Canis lupus familiaris: one gene and its partner. The protein of the gene in region 1 interacts with the protein of each later gene in a pairwise test. Links are inferred from orthologs where the notes say so. Each region holds a gene or a part of one and is shown on either strand. Other genes may lie near its edges.

Region 1 (4,197 bases):
CAATACTTGGGTTCTTTCAGAAGGTATATAATTGCTTGTTTTCTTTTTTCCCCTTAATTAGACATAACTCTGGAAACACCATACTAGACATTGGACAAAGAATGCCTATAAAGACAGAATTCTTGTATTTTTGGAATTTATAAACAAGCTGGACAATAGATTTGGATAATTTTAGGCTACATGTGAAGGTGCATATATACATTTTACACATATATTATTACTTTTAAAAGTTTTTAAGTAATTTATACATTGACCTAAATATATTTATTGGTAACATGCAATGAATCAGAACCTAGTGAAAGGAAAAAAAGAAGAAGCTAGTGTAAGTTTTTGAACTATTTCAATGAACAAGACAAACAAAATTCTGAACTCATGGAGCTTACAAACGTGAACAGGAGGAGTCTAATTATAAAGATGAGTGATATTCAAATAGTGTGAAGTGCTTTTGATGAGGGAACAGAGGACTAGCTGAGGACAAAGCATATTGACAAGTCATTGAAACAAGCAGAGGGACATTCTTCTACAGACTCAACTGCCTTGATGTTCATACTTTGCTAAGGGCAGAAGGCAATCTTAGCCTGACCCCTAGGCCCCTGTGAGTCTACTTTTTAACATATAAAAATTCCTTTAGAAATTTCCTTTATCTCTGAAACCCCCTCTTCCCCCTCCCCAAGATATGTGCTGGCAATCATCCCCCAAGCACAAGGCCCACTGATATACATCTGAAGGGTCTCATGACTCAAGTTTTATTAGACAGTAGTAAGTGCCCTTTTCCCATCAATAGCTAGCCCCCTCAAGGTCCTGCAAACCTGGCTTCCAAAATCCCTTAGAGAGTATGCTATCCTCAAACCCCTCCCAACTCCCAGGTATATAATGAGCCACCCCTCACAGGCCCGGGGCAGCAGCTCTTCCTGTCCATGGGTCCAATCCTTGTGCTTTAATAAAATCATCTTGCACCAAAGATGTCTCAAGAATTCTTCTTGGTCGTTGGCTCTGGACCTCACCTATATTCCAAAACTTTATCACTTTGAAGATAAAAACAAAAAATAAAAAAAACAAAAAAACAAAAAAACAAAAAAACCTATTATGATGTAATTCAGAATAATTTAAAGCACCCTAGTTGTATTCTACTGTGGAGGCCGAGAAAATTAAGGCCATTCCACCTTAAGTTCAGTGTTAGCACAAGTACAGCCATCCCAGGCCCCTGTGAATAGGAGCTGAACTTTACCTAACTTCAGTTAAGCCCCATATTAGAATGAGAACAGGGCTCAATGCCCTTGAAAGCCCCATATCAGCATGTAAACAGAACTTGAGAAATTCCTCCACCCCTTCTGGAGGTCCCCTAGACCAGCCCATAAAACTAAGCTGGAACCTATCTCGGGGTCCAAGTCCCTGCTCTGCTGTGTCGGGTATACTTGGACCCAAGCTCGAACTTGTAAATAAACCCTCGTGTGTTTGCATCGGTGTCGGTTCCTTGGTGGTTTTTCAGGTACGTAATCTTGGGCACAACACTACTTCTGCCTGGGTAGAAGTAGCTGGACTAGAATCAACCCGGAAAGACTGCCCAGAGAGAATGATGTTTGAACAGAGAACTGATTATCCAGAAAAGTCTCTCATTCAGAGTTCTGAAAGAAAAGCATGTAGTCAAAGTGTAGACAGAAGCAAATTGGTGTATTTGCGTGATAAAAGAGAAGGCCAGTGTTTAAGGACCTGAACAGAGACAGGGAGATGGTTAGGAAATAAAACTAGAAAGATAGTCTGGCATCTGATTATTTAGATCCTCACAGGGCCGGAAAATATAGCCAAGCAGGTGATGTGGGGAGTAGTGAACTATCTGCAGAAAATTAAAAATATAACAAAATTTATTAAGAGTCAGTCTACTTTTTATTATCACCCATAATCCTTAACAATGCCAATGATAAAATATTCCCGGAAAATATCTTTTGTGATTTTTTTTGTTTAGTTTTAAATTTTTATGGTTATTATTTAGTTTTAGAACTCTGTTTATCCATTTCTCTATACAATAAATTCTTGTTATTCATGGTAGTTACAGTCTGTGAAGTGTCAGAGAACACCAAATAATTATTGCTTCTGTGGGAACTACAGGGTTAGGTTTCTGTAATGTCTGATGACAACAATTTCTGTCAACAGATTATTACATAACCTTGTTTTATATACGTTTCTGTTTCAATGCCCATTAGCAAATATATGTTGATTCATTAACATTGATCTCAGCCAACAGCACTATAACTCATGCCTGAATAAAGCTTACCTAATACACATATTTTCTTTGTAAGGCACATCAGTCTTCTTGAGCTTAGGAACACCAGACTGTACTTCAGCACTATGTTTGAGGGCATTTTAGGCAGTGAAGTAACCAACAAAAAGTCAAAGCACACACACACACAAACAAAAAGCACTACAAAGACAGTGAAAAGGACATTTCTTCTTCAGTTAGGAGAGCTGGAACAAGAGGGCAGTGTCACTTTGTTCAAACTCCTCTGAAATCAGGCATGTTAGGTTGTAGGGGCCAGAGTAAGTTACTCTCGGATTGACCACTCTGGCATAGAGATTATTCCCAATTAAAAGTCATCAAAGCCCAGCAGACTCAGGAAAAACTCTGCCTCTCCCACAGCTGTTTAAATTTACATTGGAAAGGAGAGCCTGCCACAGGCAGGGGAGTATTAATAGAGACCAACGCTCCCTTTACTAAAGGAATTTATCTACTTAATAAGGCAACCTTGTTTTCCCAAACATCTCCTTTCCCCTTCCTGCTAAAGCCCTTCCTTCCCTTGGTGTCCTAGGACCTGTCTCCCTCACCATCCCACATCAGCTTCTTGTTGTCTCCTTTAGAATCTCCTGTCCCCTCTGTACACCTATTACATTTGATTTCCTCCTGTTAGTTCATCTCCTGTCAGTTTGATTCTAAGTCCAGCTAGAAGAACCTTAGGCAGGAAGAAGATCTTCCTTTCTGACAGTGGGTCTCCAACTTTTCACCGTTCTGCGCATGCCTGTGAATGATCATGAAAGAGCCCTGATTGATTTGGGATTATGATTAAATTTTAGCACTTAAGCAAATTTGCAATCCTGGAATCCATGAATAATGAGGATGGAGTTATCTCTGTGTATATCAATATATCTATATGTTCTTCAAATTATCAGGTTTATGTCTTTTTTCCTTTTGTAAGTACTGTATTCTACATGGAAGTTCATTCACAGAACTCCTAGTTGTTGTGGAACAATTTGGAATGGTTTGGAATTACTGAAATTCACTCAGTACCACTTGGTTTGCATTGCTTGCATTATAGAATGAGTAATTTCTGTGTTTAAAGTGTAGATTTGAAATCAATATCGATAGCATTGCACAGTGATTATCAAATCAAAAAGACAAAATTTGAGCTACTTTCTCTTCATTCTATGTGACAGTTTGCAATTTTTATTTGTCCTTATACAATATTTCAACTGCAGAGAAATCTGAAAATTACTAAAATTGATCCTGAGAAAATAAGGACATGGACAATATTGTAATTTCTGGAATCACTGTGAAATAGGATTTTTGTAAATCTTTGCCACATATATACTATGTATAAGTCTTTTTCTCTTTACATATCTGTGGCTTCGGTTAAAGAATTTTAAAAATTAAGTGAAGAAAAAATTATCTTAAATCAATTTTGAGCAAAGATGAATTGGTGTGTCTGGATACATAGTCAATACTTAACACAAACTTGTAAAAAAGATTAATTTTGACAATATCATTAACAAATTTGGAAAAGGTTAAGGAGCTCAAACAGAAATTGTAATATTATTTATTACTGTGACATACCTATATATAGGTATAAATTCCCCTCCCTTTCAAAAAAGGCATTAACATAATTGATAAGATTTTATCCATTGATTTAAGAGTGGTTTGTACAATATTTATTTTTACTTTACTATACATATTTATACACACATTTTAATTTCTTTTGACATTATTTTATATACAACTTTTTAAAAGAAGATTAGATTTAATTTAATTTATTTGAGAAAGAGAAAGAGCATGCACACAAACTGGAGGAGGGGTAGAGGCAGAGAATCCCAAGCAGACTCCATGCAAAGGTGGAGCCTCACACTGGGCTTTATTACATGACCATGAGATCATGATCTGAGTGGAAACTAAGTCATCTAACGACTGAGCCACTCAGGCACCTCTATTTT
Region 2 (3,651 bases), on another chromosome or scaffold:
TGAGAGTGCATTTAGGTTTTGAGCCTCTCTGGGTGGTTTTTCTGATTTACTGGTGGAGGGCTGTTCAGTCACAAAACTCTACACTTCTCTTGAGAGTTTGGAGGAATGGCCCTCCCAAACTGCTCGGTGATATTTTCTAAAACAAAATTTGTTGTAAGGAATGGAAATTATGAAGAAAATCCTCCACTGTCTTTGTTGTGAAGTTGGTCTGGTGGCTACTGTTATCAATTTTTATTAAAATTAAAGCACCTTAATGTGATCAGCAAACTCATTGAGCCAATAAGAAATATTTTCAAGAGCTATCCAAATTACCAGGGCCACATCCCCTTTTCTGTGGCTCCACCCTCTTTGACCGTTGGCCTGAGAAAACCTGTCTCCTGTACAGATGTGAGTTTCTCCCCCCAAACCAACAAGGCTTAATGAAACCTAGGAAATAGGAAGTCGTGGGAGAGAAGAAAGGACAAATCTACAAGGTATGGCTAGTGCATAAGGGAGAGGATAGAAATGAGGTGAGGTATAAAGGAATGGAAGAAGCTAATTTGTGGGATAGAGAGAAAGCTTTTTTCAAAATTTTTGGTGTTATCCCTGGATTTAATTAACAGCATTTAAAAAAATAAATAAAATTAAGAGCATTAATTTTGTGCTGCACATTTGTACACAAATTGAAAATTTTATGATTGAATTTAAGTTCTATAGGAGATTGTCAATTGTGCTAATTAGGACAATTGTTAACTTCTTTAGATATTTTTTTATAAAGTTTCTAAGCCATTGGTTTATTTCATCTGGGGAGGATACAACTAACTAGCTGAAGTAAACTGTGAGAAAAATAGGTATATATTATTTTAAACATATGTTTAAAATATTAAAGATAAGTAATAATAAAGTAACCATTTATTTTTTGAAAAGCACTCTCAAAGTTTTCAGTGATATAAACTAAGCTTTAACTAGAGAGAAAATTGGCTGAAAGGCACATTTCTAAGATCCTCGTTGTAGAGTTCCAGCTTCTTCTAAATTGGTTGATTGCGTGAGCCACTTCAGGAAGAGAAACTATATGTATTTTTAGACTTCTGTTGCTCCTTATTTATTTTCTTCGGAATACTCTTGGATTTGCTTTGAGGCGAGACAGAACTCTTATCAGAATTCACCACATTCGCATCTGTGTGCACATGACAGAGTTTGGTTCTGCTGTGGTTAACTTAAGCTATCTGACTTGTCCAACAGGTTCCTGGGTGGAGCTACCCATGAACAGCAGCAATGGCAATGATAATGGCAATGGGAAAAATGGGGGGCTAGAACATGTACCTTCCTCATCCTCTATCCACAATGGAGACATGGAGAAGATTCTTTTGGATGCACAGCATGAATCAGGACAGAGTAGTTCAAGAGCCAGTTCTCACTGTGACAGGTAAGTGAGATCCATACAGATGGGTTATAAGGTTAATTCTCACCAAAAAAAATAAATCTGGTTTCATTCTCATTTGACAAAATAGGACTCCTGGGACTCCCGGGTGGCTCAGTGGTTGAGTGTCTGCCTTCCGCCCAGGGCGTGATCCTGGAGACCCAGGATCGAGTCCCACGTCGGGCTCCCTGCATGGAGCCTACTTCTCCCTCTGCCTGTGTCTCTGCCTCTCTCTCTCTGTGTCTCTTATGAATAAATAAATAAAATCTTTTTTTAAAAAAAGGACTCTTGATTTACTGCAGCATGTATATTTAAATCAGATAGCTAATTGGCAAATATTTGAGTGCCTGGTGTTTTTCCCTAGATTAAATCAATTTCCTTATTCAGATTGTATCATTTTTTGATGTTTATCAGTTTAAAAGTCAATGGCATAAATGTTTACTTGTAGAATTAACAAACTTTCTCCAATTTTCCTTTGTGACCCTGTTTCACAGATGACATTCTGTCAGTTATCTCTTATGTTTCTGTCCCCCCTTCCAGACGATGAGGCTCCAAAAGGCATGTTGCATCTCTTGTGTACCCTTGACAGTCATGGTACTGGTGTGTAGCAGACCCTCAGTAACATGTTTGAGTCGTAGGAACTGGTGGTTGATTCAAGTTACAGCAGTATTTGTATGGTGTATGCAGACCACACAAGGTCTGTAAAGATAGCTAATTTGGAAGACCATCCTGTTTCTTCAGCGGAACCTTATTTTCAGACCTCATTTTTCTACTTTTGACTTGGGGAAAGTAATTCCATTGATGAAGGGCTGCTTTTGGTGAAAGAGTAAGGATACAGTGATATGTATGAGTGGAATAAAACCGAATTGCTCATTTGTTTTTCAGTGTAAGCTTTGTTTTTTTCTTGAGGGATAGGTGTTAAATACATGGTGGTATACCTGACACCACTTAGTCTGATGACAGCCATACTGTTAGCACTATGGGATAAAGGATGATCTGGTTAATTAAGAGTTAACTGACATTAGTCATGTAGAAAATGCAGATGCATAAGGAAAAAGACTAAGGAAACACTTAAAAATGTATACTAAAAATAAAAGTGATTATCCCTAAGAGATGGAATTATGGATATTTTTCTTCTGAATATTTTTGTACTTTGTAAAAATTGCATATATAGCATATTTTATTTGTCAGAATAAATTTAAAAAGAGAAACAGAAGTTCGGTCATGTCTGAAGTTCCTGGATATCTTATAATCCAGTGATGTTACCAAGGAAGCAGAGGATTGGTTTGCTGGCTCTAGCACACTGTGCACCCCCGCCACCCCATCTCATCCCTGCCTTTGTCCCTGTGCTTCTTAGTAGCCTGGGATGGCTCTTGTTCTAAGCAGAAGCAGAGCAGATGGCTCTTTGCTGAACAGCTTGCCATTGATTCCAGTTGCAACAGCATTCGTCTGTCTTTCAGAATGAAGTTTATATTATATTACATTTATATTTTGGGACTTGTAATAGGTTTCTGAAGTTTTCTGCTTGTTCTAGGCCTCTTTATGAGGCTCTTACTATGCATTCAAGTACAAGACCCTTGAGCATTGGTATCAGTGTGTCTCTTAACCTGTTGTTCACTTGCTGTTGTCATTGAGCAGAGAAAAAGTCACCTGCTTGCTTTTCTGGTCGTCTCATTTCATTCCTGGTTAGTAGTTATACTTGTGATCAAATACGAATTTACCTTCCCGTGACCACATTTAAGTTAGGTTTCTAAACACCTGAAGCGAGGCGTGGCATGTGCTTTTGAACATTTTCCTGTCCCTCACTTTATGTATGTTTAGGATCTGGGTTCCTGGTCATTTTTCAGAGAGGGCCTGTGACTCCAACTCAGTAATACTCTCCTATGCTAACACATCTTAACATTTTAAAATGTCTTCAAAATTCATATCATTTGGATGGGCTTGCATCTCCATATCTGAAGTCGCTGAGAAATGTTTTTTGTAGGTGGAAACATTTTTAGGATTGTTGGATATTCATCCCAAGGCTAGTTTATATATACAGTGACCCTTGAATGACATGGGTCTGACCTGCACAGCCATGTGGATTGTTTTCCATAAAGCACAGTATTTTATGGTAAATGTCGTTTCTTTCCCTTAAGGGTTTTTTTTTTACATTTTTTTCCTTTAGCCTACTTTATTGTAGGAATGCATACAAGATATGTGTAAATTGACTGTTATCTGTCAGGCTTCTTGTCAAAAGTAGTAGGTTATTA

What was found.
Region 2: the proteins of CLEC7A (region 1) and BNIP3L interact in binary tests that used the Homo sapiens proteins (3 or more experiments, as listed by UniProt). The two-hybrid records come from large-scale screens. The link is inferred for Canis lupus familiaris from reciprocal best matches to the Homo sapiens genes CLEC7A and BNIP3L.

Annotation. Positions count from the first base shown.
Region 1 is NC_049248.1:10,285,464-10,289,660, reverse strand, and holds the start of CLEC7A (C-type lectin domain family 7 member A), read left to right. Parts: upstream 1-1,397; 5' UTR 1,398-1,489; intron 1,490-4,197.
Region 2 is NC_049246.1:31,318,445-31,322,095, reverse strand, and holds part of BNIP3L (BCL2/adenovirus E1B 19 kDa protein-interacting protein 3-like), read left to right. Parts: intron 1-326; exon of another isoform or gene 327-473; intron 474-1,221; coding exon 1,222-1,405; intron 1,406-3,651.